Oryctolagus cuniculus: one gene and its partner. The protein of the gene in region 2 purifies or fractionates together with the protein of the main gene of each other region. This does not show direct contact. Links are inferred from orthologs where the notes say so. Each region holds a gene or a part of one and is shown on either strand. Other genes may lie near its edges.

Region 1 (4,731 bases), on a different chromosome or scaffold from region 2:
GCTCAGTGCAGCCCTACACCAAGGAGGTGCTGCAGTCGCTCCCGCTGACTGAAATCATCCGCCACTACCAGCTGCTCACCGACGAGAACATCCCCGAGAACCCACTGCGCTTCCTCTACCCCCGAATCCCCCGCGATGAGGCTTTTGGATGCTACTACCAGGAAAAAGGTGGCAACCGATTTGTTTATTTACATATTTATTTACTCACATGTATTTAGTAAAAAGGCAGAATGATAGAGAGGGATTTCTGTTCACTGCTTCACTCCCCAGATGCCCACTAATAGCCAGGCCTGGGCCTGAGCAAAGCCAGGAGTCAGGAACTCCATCTGGAGTCTCTTATGTAGGTGGTGGGGCCCCAAGCACTTGGGCCATCATCTGCTGCCTTCCCAGGCATATTAACAGGGAGCTGGTTCAGACTGCAACATAGGATGCTGGCATTGCAAGCAGCCGCTTAACTGTGCTACATGGTGGGACTTGTTAACATACTTGATTACTAGATTGCAGGAATTCTCAGACATCATAAATCCAGCTCCATTTCAAACATGGGAAAATGATATCCAGGGGCCAGCATTGTAGCATAGTGGTTTAAGCCACCACCTGCAACACTGGCATCCTATATGAGCACTCGTTCGAATCCCAGCTGTTCCACTTCCAATCCACCTCCCTGCCATTGCACCTAGGAAAGCAGCAGCAGATGACCCAAATGCTTGGGCCCCTGCCATCCACATGGGAGACTCGGGTGGATTTCCATGCTCCTGGCATAGCCCCTGTCATTTGAACCATTTGGGGAGTGAACCACTAGACAGAAGACCAACCTGCTTTTCAAAGAAACCAATAAATCTTTAAGGAAAAAAAAAATGATACCCAGAGAAGTGAAGGGATTTGTTGATGGGACCCTGCTAGCCCACAGGGAGGTGTGACAGCCAGGACCACCTGTACTGGGAGACCTGTGGGCCGTGTGTGCACCCCACTGACCCCAACTCCTTGTATGGCCCTCACAGTTAATCTCCAGGAACGGAGGAAATACCTGAAACATAGGCTCATTGTGGTCTCCAACAGGTGAGGTGTGAACTCTGCCCATCCTCCTTGATCCTTTCAGGCTGTCAGAGCGACTCTAACCTGCCCGATTCCAGCCCTCCCCCTCTCCCCCCAGCAGGCTCCCTGTGCTGACCCACACTCTCCGGCCCTCTGGCTTTCTCTGGTTCTTCTAGTCTTTGTCCTCTGTTGTTTCTTCCCTGCTGCCATCCTCATATCTTCACAGTGGTTCCCCGGGAAGAGAGGCTATGCTTGCTGGTAGCAATGGTCGCCCACCTGATGCCAGGCGTAGTACTAGATGTTTTAAGAACCTTTGATCATTTAATCCTTGTGAGAACCCGTCAGAGCAGGTGGTAATCAGAGCCACGTTTATGGAAAGCTTCCTACACGCCAGCACCGGGCTGAATGCTTTGTGTTCACTTTCCCTTTCTCTTGAATCTTCGCCAGTGGTCCTGTGAGGTAGCCATTGTGATCATCGTTGTCGTCTGAGGAGACGGATGTTCGGAGTGGGGAAAGAGGCATGCCTAGGGCACGTGGCTACAGGTGACCCGGGTTCATCAGATTCTCCTGTCTTGGTGTTTGCAGACAGTTGGATGAGCTGCAGCCACCGCCACTACCACTGCCACTGGAGCTGGAGCCAAAATTGGAGCCGTTAGAGCTGGAGCCGTTAGAGCTGGAGCCGGGGCTAGCACCAGGCCTGGAGCTAGCGTTAAGCCTGGAGTTAGGGACCCTGCTGGAGACAGGGCTGGACCTGGGGCTGGAGCCCACGCTGGGCCTGGTGCCACAGAGCATGCCAGAGCCAGACCTGCTTCCTGACTCCCAGCCAGGGCCGGAGCCAGAAGCAGATCTGCCCGGCGACCTGAGACACTTGAACACTGAGGAAATGGAAAGTAAGTGAGGGGATGTGGCTAGGGCTGAGAGAGTGGCCACTCCGGCCTGCCCAGTGGTAGTCCCTCTGGCCTTCTCTCCCTTTCCCACCTTCCCTCCCTCACCTGTCACCGGTGCTGCAAGCTCCTCATTGGAGAAGGGCTCATTTCCGGGTCATACCTTTCATTAGGAAACACCCACGCCTTCCCATGTCCCCTGTTCCCCTGAGGTCCCGTCCAGGCCTTTTCCCACCATCCTCCCTCACTTTGCCTGCTGGGCTGGGGTCTCCCAGCTGAGATCGGGGCTTGACTTCTCGCTCTGGATCCTCTAGTCTTCAGAAACTCTGTGAAGATTGAAGAGATCATGCCCAATGGAGACCCGCTGTTGGCTGACCAGGACGCCACGGACGATACTTACATCTCCTGCCACAGCCACTTTGACTCCGATGGGCCCTTGGTTCCGTCTGACTACTAGGAACTGCATTTCCTCTGTCCCACATCTCTTGCTGCTCCTCCCCCCTCCCCACATCATGATGCTGCTCTCCAAGAGTGGGAGTGAGAGTGGGAGGTGAGAGCCTCACACGGACATGGAAGGGCACCCCGGGATCAGAGCAGATGCTGGCCGTAGTTCCTAGCAGGATCCCCGGGGCTACCTGCTGGGCCCGAAGCGTGGGCTTCTGGGGGCAGGCCAGGATAGTGGCAGGTGCTGGAAGATGCTCGGGCAGGGCTTCTTGCCAGCTTGGAAGGACTGTCGCATTGAATTCCAGGTAAGGCTGAGCTAGTGTACCCTGGCACCGGCCCTCGGCGGGGAGCACAGAGGCATAGCGGGACTGTTTTTCTGACTCAGCCCACCCAGGGAAGCTATACCCTGAGGACGGCAGTAGGAGGTAGCCCTGCTCTTCTCACTAGGCTCATCCCTTGCTCCGCCCCCTCAGCTGGCCACGTGCATTTCTCCCACAAGATGACTCAGCCAATCCACTGTGGCTGTGAAGCTTTGTACACTCACTCAAGTTGCTTAGTCTCCACTTCCCCAACACTTAGGGGACAGATTGCCACGGGAGGGCAGGGATGCCAGGAATTTAGGCATTGGTTTCAACGGCACTGGGTAGAGTTCAGGGATTTCTGGAAGAAGACAAGGGTTGGGTCTTACCTATTTTTCTACTACACTGTCATCCTCCTCCTTTATACACTGTTTTTACCTGAAGGGAAGGCTTCTCTTTCTTGGGAGTGGAGCTGGGCAAAGACCAAGTCCCTGGAACTTAGTGCCTCGAAGGTTTAACATAGACCCTGGACAACCTCACACCTCCGCCGCCCCCAGGGGTAACTGCCATTGTGCTAGATGTGCTTCTGGTGTAACTCGAGGTGGATGAAGGTGAGGCCCAGGCACGTGGCTGCTTCGTGTCTGCTGTGTCAGCACAACAGCCCCTCGAGGCCCCTCCCAGCAGCAAGAGCTAATAAACGTCATGCTGGCCTGGAAACTTTCATCTCTGCATGTCTTTACTTCTCTGCTCATAAAGGCCAATGTCCTGAGGCACATCAAGATACAGGAACAAGGTGGGCGAGCCGTGGCCTGTCTTCCACAAACCCCAGTATGCCCCACTCCTCACGGTTCTTCCCTCTCAGTTGGGAGCAGCTCCTCCTGTCCCTTAGCCTTGCTGTGGCTGTGACTACGTATGTGTCAGGGAAGAGGAAGAGTGGTTATTTAACTGTCCCACTGTCACTCTGCTGGTTGGTGGCAAAGCCAAGACAGGAACCTGGGGCTGGGCAACTCCAAAGCCTACATTCTCAATGCTGTGACTTTGGGGGAAAGGAAAGGAAATAACCACTAGCCCCTTCTCCTATTTTTTTTTCCAAAAATGTTTTGGCTCCCCTTGGGTAACCAAACTCTTGAAGAGGTCCACGGCTTTCCTTTATGGGAGAATCCTATTGGTTTGGGAGATGGACTTTCATCTTCCAGGAGCACCCTTCCTACTCAAAACTCAGCTCTCGGATCCCACAGTCCTCAGGACTCCTGTCTATGGCCAGATATACTCTTTTTAAAAAGATTTATTTGAAAGAGTTAGAGAGAGAGAGAGGGAGAGACAAACAGATCTTCCATCCACTGATTTACTTTCCAAATTTCTGTAACAGCCAGGGCAGGAGCCAGGAGTTTCATCCGGGTCTCCCACGTGGATGCAGGGGCCCAAGGACTTGGACCATCTTTACTGCTTTCCCAGGAACATTAGCAGGGAGCTGGATTGGAAGTGGAGCAGCCAGGATTCAAACCGGGGCCCATATGGGATGCCAGCATCGCAGGCAGTAGCTTTACTTGCTATGCCACAGTGCTGGCCCCTGGCTAGATAAATTCTTGGCCAAGAAAGCTGGGAAAGAGCCAATGGATCAAGAAGTGAGTGACCCCAGGTGTGCCCCCATTTCCTAATCTCAAGCTGTTCTATTTGCTCAGCCACACAGGGATTAATGTCAGAAAGATCCCAGTTTATGCCAGGGGCTCTGGAGAAAGTAGTATTTTATATGTTAGTCTTCAGAGGAGAAGCAAAGGATGAGAACTGAAGTCCCCCGGCCCTTCTTTCCCAGCTGAACCTAGAAATTAGACTCTCATAGGCACATAAATAAGTCTTTATTGGAAAAAATACATAATTCAGTATAAATATAATAAATAATCCTTGAACTGCTCCCATGAGAATAAATAGTCCCAGAGTTTCCCCTCCCACCTAATAAATACTCAGCTTTGTCATAAGTCAGCATCATAAGTCAGTCAGTTGATAAATTTTTCAACATTTGCAAGTCCACTGGAAGTGATGGACTGTTAGTGCACAGTTGTCTGGGGCAC
Region 2 (7,206 bases):
AGATCTCTTTCTATCTCTCTGTCTCTGTCTCTCTGGCTTTCAAATAAAATGAAAAATAAACAAACAAGAATTTCTATTCTTTGAAAAACAGCCTAACAAACATTTGAAAGTATATTACTCTAAATAAGAGAAATGTAAATTAAAACTACTCTAAGACACCATATCATGCTCACCAAATTAGAAAAAATTAAAAGCTGATAAAATACTCAGTTGGTAAACCTGTGCACAAACAGGTACTCGTATACATTACCAGCAAGAATGCAAAGTGGTGTAATTGCTATGGTGAGCTTCCTTGTGTATAACAGAAGGGGAAATAAGAAAACATACATGAACATAACCTCCAATAGTTTTTTAAAATTTATTTTTTATTTTCATTCCTGAATTTATTAATTTTTTAAAAATTTTATTTAAACTATACAAATTTCATGTATTTCATATAATTAGATTCAGGGACATAGAGATATTTTCTATCCTATCCTCCCTCCCACCCACTCTCCTACCCTTTGTCTTCCTCCCTGTCCTATTCCCATTCTTATTTTTTATAGAGATCTGTTTGTGGTTAACTTTATACTCATTAAGACTTACCATGCACTAAGTCAAGAGTTCAACAAATAATATGAAGGGGAAAAAATTCTGTTCCTCAACAGTTGAGACAAGGGCTATTTAAAATCATTGCATCTCAAAGTGTCAATTTTAGTTACCACAAATCAGGGAGAACATGGAAACACAAGAGATCCAGAATAACTAAAGAAAACATACAACAAACACAAAGCTGGAGGCATCACAGATTTCAAGACATACTACAGGGCAATTATAATCAAAATAGCCTGGTACTGGCAAAAACGCACATTTAGACCAATGGAACAGAACAGAGACTCCAGAAATCAATCCACGAATCCACAACCAACTTATCTTTGACAAAAGAGCTAAAATCAATCACTGGAGCAAGGACAGACTCTTCAACAAATGGTGCTGGGAAAACTGGATCTGCATGCAGAAGTATGAAGCCAGACCCCTACCTTACACCTTACACAAAAATCCACTCAACACTAATCAAAGACCTAAATCTATAACCTGATGCCATCAAATTATTAGAGAACATTGGGAAAACTCTGAAAGACATAGGCATAGGCAAAGAGTTCTTGGAAAAGACCCCAGAAGCACAGGCCATCAAAGCCAATAGTTTCTAATGTATAGAACCTTCCATGTTTTCTTCTGATAAATAGGAACATAGCTCTACTGCCACCTCCTGGAATATATCTGCTCTTGCTTCGTAGTTGTTCATGACATTAGCCAAAGTTGAGCTTGCAGTTCTTTTGCTACACCTGGTGAGCCTTGCATTCTTCCCTGCTGTCCTCCATATCATTTATGTGTTTGGGAAATAGACCTTACAGCAATTAACATGAAATGTCTTCAAAGGGTGGAGAAAAGATAGGAAACAAAATAAAGAACTTTAAGACTTTTTTCAAACCAAATATTTCATGTAGGATACTATAATGTTGGCTTGTCATTAAAAACATGGATATAAAAAATTTAAAAAAGTATGGATGTGTAAGCAACTATGGTTGTGCTCAGTTTGTAGAGATGGAGAGTATATTTTACTGTGATAAAATAAGCAATACTGGAATATTAAAAAAATATACATGGAACTTCTCATTTTAACTGAAAGAAGCAAAGAAAGGATAAATAAACTGGTTATTATGGGATATATAAGGGAGAGGTGACAGTTCATTGTTCATACATTTTGACTTATGAAAAGATATAAATGTTTTAAAAATAATATGACAAAAAGATATACAAGTGTGGGACCCACATTGTGGCTGGTGTAGCAAGTTAAACCACTTGCGATGCCAGTATCCCAAGTTAGAGTCTTATTTTGAGTCCCAGCTGCTCCTCTTCCTATCCAGCTCCCTGCAATTGTACATGGGAAGGCAATGAAAGACAACCCAAGGACTTGGGCCTGTGTCACCTATGTAGGAGATCTTGATGGAGTTTCAGGCTCCTGGCTGTGGCCTGGCTCAGCTCCAGCTGTTGCAGCCATTTGGGGAGTAAAGCAGAAGTTGGAAGATTTCTTTCTCTCTGTCACTCTGCTTTTCAATTAAATAAATGACTGATGGGTAAGACTGAATATTCTGGGGCTGGCATGGTGGTGCAGAGGGTTAAGCCATATCCATCAGCCCTGGTGCATTAGAATCTGATCCAGCTCCCTGCTAATGTGCCTGGGAAAGCAGTGAAAGATGGTGCAAGTACTTTCATCCCTGAACCCTTATGGGAGACCGGGAAGAAGCTCCTGGCTTCTGCCTGGACCCGTCCTGGCCACTGCAGCCAACTGGGGGGTGAAGCAGGGTATAGAAGATCTCTCTCTCTCTCTCTCTCTCTCCCCCTCTTTCTGTAACTCTGCCTTTCAAATAAATAATTTTTTTTAAGAGATGGAAGGTTCTGGAATCAGGTCCTGTTTAGACCACTTAGAATTTTCTATCCTTTGCATTTTGTTTTAAAAATAGGGCTTGTATCGAGAGGCTGTGGTGTAGATAAAAAACAGGTTTCCAGATTAACGGAGAGCCTGGCACATAGTAGGGACCCGGGAGTGACAGGTCTGTCAGACTGTCCCAGCAGGAACTCTGAGGAGAAACAGCCGATCCATTGCCTTTCCCAGCCCTCCCTTTCCCTGCGGGGAGTCCGCGACGGTAACATGCCCTATTTCATCAAATCTGCAAGCCTGGGATGGATACCCGATTCAAGAGAGTATATCGTAATCTTCCGAAAGAAAAAATACGCTGCCGCACAGGTTAGAAAATGTCAAGTGGTTGTAACACGCATCCTAGCGGCAGAGACCTTAACATGTCAAATAAAAAGAAACGTGTGCTCTTGGAATCGTCAGCAATTGGCATTTGCAAGTACTGAAACCATAGCACAAATCAAACGCAAAGGCACACAGCACCGATGCGTTAGCTCACACGTGGCGAGTTGGGCTGGTCCCCACCGGCTGACCGGTAAGTAGTCGCTGCGAGCGCCCGCCGCGCCCTCCGGCCGCAGTCCAGCCTGCCTTTGAGTTTCACTTTCCATTCCGCGGGAAACGAAAGCCGAGAGGCGGGGGCGAGGCTCGCGCGCGGTCGCCTGGCGCCGCAGCGCAGAACTAACAGCTGAGCCTGGTGCTGCACGGTCGCGCCCGCCCTGTCTCCTGCCTTGGCTGCGGGCGGCTCTGCTTTCCCGGCTGCGTTCTCCGACAGAGCTGTCGCGGGGCAGGCAGCGAAGTAGCATTGGAGGCTTGACGCTTGCGTGGCACTTGAGGCAAGTGTGGGCTAATTTGCGGAGTTTTCTTTAGGAAAGACATCCAGCGGAGCTCCTGGGTAGTTAAGGGATGTATTTGGGCTTCGCGAATTATAAGGATCCGTTATCATTGCACGCATATGTAAAGCCAATGATTTTTTTTCTCAAGCGGCTAGATTTATTTGGGCTTTTATATGCCTTCGTGTTTAAAAAAAGAAGTTAACAAAGGTGTTGTAAGCTTGTAAAAAAATGTAAACATTGCAGACAATGTGTAAAGTAGAAACAGAAGTTTTTCTCAATGCGGTATCATTGTTGTGTATAATTTATCAGGAAGGCTTCTATGTGAAGGTCTTTAAAATTGATTTGTAATTAGCTTTCCCACTTAATAGTACATTATGGACATCTTTTTATGGAAGGACATATGGATGCATCAATGGTATTTTTTTAAACTGATGAACAATATGGAAAGGATGTTATGTATTTAAACAATGCTAGGACATTTCGGTTATTTCAAGTTTCTACTGGTATAGATGATGCAGCAATGATTCTCATTTTATATGTGCATTCTTACAAATGGACGAATATATTTGGAAAATTTCTCGAAGCAGAATTTCTCAGTCCGTGGACATACATGTTGAGAAATTTTAAAGATTTTGTCAAACTGTGCAAACAATGTTTTAGTTTTAATCCCTCTTTTCTCCTCTTTTTTTTCCTAGGAAGAAAGCCAAAAGGATTTTTAAACATAAAATTCCATTCTAAGGCCTGTGAAAATCTGTGTTCAGTGTATCTGAAAATTAACACAGTGGCTTGAATTTTGTACTTAACAGCACTGAGGTGCTATATTTTGAAACTGTTCCAGAAAACAGGGCAAATATTTTAAAACATTTAAAAACATTTCATATAAGGCTTTCTTTTTGGTGTTACATCATGCAGAGTGAGGTGGAGTGTTAAGGAAGGTATGTAGGAGATTTCCTGTGTTTGTAGAGCAAAATGGAAAGGAGAGTAACATAGGTGTCTGATTCCACCTTGAATTTCATTCTGTTAAAGAATGAAAACAAAAAGCTTTCTCTGGCTTCTCTCATTTACAATTGAAAATGTTTTGCGGAGCGGTGCTGTGGTGTAGCAGGTAAAGCTGTCACCTGCCGGTTCGAGTCCTGGCTGCTCCACTTCTGATACAGCTCCTTGCCAATGCAAGAATATGTCCCAAGTGCTTGGGCCCCTGCACCCACCTGGGACATGTTTGGGTTTTCAACCACACCCAAGAACGACAACCAAGACCACGCTCAGCAAAGAAAAGTTTAGTAGGGCAAAGAACTGCCAGGAATGGCCTCAGAGGGAGATGAGCTTGGGGCTCATGTGTAAGGCTGGGGTTTTATAGGGAACTTGTGTCAAGGGAGGAGGGAGAGAGGTGGGAGATGAATTGGAGCAGGCGAACAAAGGGATGTGGGGTGTGGGCTGGAGCAGCTGGAGAGGATACCAGATACCGTGAGACAGGGTGTTTCTGACACAGGGGGTCTCCGGGGCTGCCTGATTTGTAACTGGGCCAGTGATAGGGACTGGGAGGCACAGGATATCTGCATGATTTGTAGTTGGGACAAATTGTGGGAATGGTGAGGCTTTCCAGGAGCACGGTGCCTCTATGTTTTTCTTTTCCTGATGCCAGGAAAGAGTCGGGGAGATGTCTTGGACTCGTGTGGATTCAGGATTCTCATAGGAGACCTGGATGAAGTTCCTGGCTCCTGGCTTCAGATCAGTCCGGCTCTGGCCGTTGTGGCCATTTTGGGAGTGAACCAGTGGATGGAAGATATCTCTCTATCTCTGTCTCTGTCTCTCTCTCTCTCTGTAACTCTGCCTTTCCAAAAAAATAGTTTTGCAGTTTTCTCACTTTTGCACAATGATAGGCTTATGAAGAGGATAATGTTCAATGTAAGCATAGCCTCAAAGGAGATGAGTTCTACTCCTTCCATGGGGCTGTTTTGTTGGGAATGATAGGTGCAAGGTTCCTTATTATTTTGGGTTTAATCTGTGTGTTCAGCATATTACTATTACTCAACGAAGGCGGAAGTGTGAATAAATCATGAAAACTGAGATCTGAATTTGTTACTGCCATGATGAAGTGAGTATGGAAGACTTAAGTTATTAGGATTATTCCCTATGTGTACATTTTGTCCTCTTAAGGCCTTTGAAGTTGGAGTCGGTTTTTCTTCAGTGAGTCTAGTTATGAGTTAAGTAGTCAGAGACCCAGACTACTCCAGGTTTCCTGTGTGACGCCTCTGGCCATTGGCTCTCTCTCTGAAGAAGCTGACTGATTCTGAGGCCTATGCCAGTTATTGCTGTCACACACATCTATCCACATTTTTCTCTCCACATTTTCTTTTTAAAGATTTGCTTAATTATTTGAAAGGCAGAGTGAAAGAGAGAGAGAGAGATATTTTCCACTCCCCAGTGGTGGCTTAACCAGCTGGACCAATTAATTGAAGTATACAATTAATGGATTTCAACAGTAGATAGAGGGGCCAGCACTGTGGTGTAGAGGGTAAAGCCACCGCCTGCAGTGCCAGCATCCCATATGGGCACTGGTTTGAGTCCTGGCTGTTCCTCTTCCTATCCAGCCCTCTGCTATGGCCTGGGAAAGCAGTAGAAGATGGCCCAAGTGCTTCTGCCCCTGCACACACATGGGAGACTGGGAAGAAGCACCTGGCTCCTGGCTTCAGATTGGCGCAGCTCTGGCCATTGTGGCCATTTGGGGAATGAACCAGTGGATGGAAGACCTCTCTCTCTCTCTCTCCCTCTCCCTGCCTCTCTGTGTAACTCTGATTTTCAAATAAATAACTCTTTAAAAAAGAAAAACAAAACAGTGAATAGCCCACTATGCTACGGAGCATTAGAAGCTGTTCTTCCTATTCAACTGTACTCTGTACCTATTAATTCAGTTTTCTTCATCCCTTCCTCTCACACCCTTCTTAGACTCTGGTAAGCCCTTCCTCTGATTTTTTTTTATTTGACAGATAGAGTTAAGACAGTGAGAGAGAGAGAGACAGAGAGAAAGGTCTTCCCTCCATTGATTCACCCCCCAAATGGCTGCTACGGCCAGTGCTCCGCCGATCTGAATCCAGGAGCCAGGTGCTTCCTCCTGGTCTCCCACGTGGGTGCAGGTGCCCAAGCACTTGGGCCATCCTCCACTGCCTTCCTGGGCCACAGCAGAGAGCTGGACTGGAAGAGGAGCAACCAGGACTAGAACCCGGCGCTCATGTGGGATGCTGGTGCCACAGGCGGAGGATTAACCAAGTGAGCCATGGCGCCGGCCCCTGCTTCTTCTGATTTTAAGGATAAAAATTTCAGGAAGGTAGGGAACTAAGTGAATGTAGGACTTCGGGGACAGATTTTTTAGTGTTTTTTTGGCATGGGTTGGGTTTGGACATTCAAACACTCTCCTCCTTTCTCTGGTGGATGCCTTGTTTCATCTGCTTCCTTTTCTTGCATCTTCTCTGCCCACCGGCCTTTCTCCATCTTAGATCTTAAAGTTTCACTTAGATCTTTAAGTTTCTCCAACTTAGATCTTTAAGTTTCACTTTCCTTCCCCTTTGTTGCCCCACCTACTTACCTCCCTCTGTGATCAGCCCTACAAGTTTGCTGCATTTTTTCCCATTGTCTCTGGGACCAGGCCTGCCAGCCTGTTTAAAGGATATACTCCATTGGGTTTTAGGCCTCTTTTCTAGGGAAGTATTCACGAGATCTTGGCAGGACAATGTCTGGAAAATGCGGCTGGCTCCTTTCTGTTCTGTTTCATCAGATTTCTCTCAATGATGATCTCCAATACTGAGTTCTAGTTGACATAAATCTGCTGTCATCATTTAAATTCCAGCTTAACTCTTCTGACTTGGCCTCATAAGAGAAATAACTATTTATAACTATCTTTTTAAATAAAAAATTAGT

Evidence for each region.
Region 1: the proteins of USP18 (region 2) and STAT2 purify together in Homo sapiens (affinity purification with western blotting; 6 studies listed by BioGRID and IntAct, with this or other methods). This does not show direct contact. The link is inferred for Oryctolagus cuniculus from reciprocal best matches to the Homo sapiens genes USP18 and STAT2.

The regions. Positions count from the first base shown.
Region 1 is NC_091442.1:59,155,550-59,160,280, reverse strand, and holds the end of STAT2 (signal transducer and activator of transcription 2), read left to right. Parts: coding exon 1-168; intron 169-1,001; coding exon 1,002-1,059; intron 1,060-1,620; coding exon 1,621-1,925; intron 1,926-2,233; coding exon 2,234-2,376; 3' UTR 2,377-3,379; downstream 3,380-4,731. UniProt on the Homo sapiens protein: Signal transducer and activator of transcription that mediates signaling by type I interferons (IFN-alpha and IFN-beta).
Region 2 is NC_091440.1:88,893,871-88,901,076, reverse strand, and holds the start of USP18 (ubl carboxyl-terminal hydrolase 18), read left to right. Parts: upstream 1-3,050; 5' UTR 3,051-3,291; intron 3,292-4,202; exon of another isoform or gene 4,203-4,226; intron 4,227-7,206. UniProt on the Homo sapiens protein: Interferon-induced ISG15-specific protease that plays a crucial role for maintaining a proper balance of ISG15-conjugated proteins in cells. Regulates protein ISGylation by efficiently cleaving ISG15 conjugates linked via isopeptide bonds.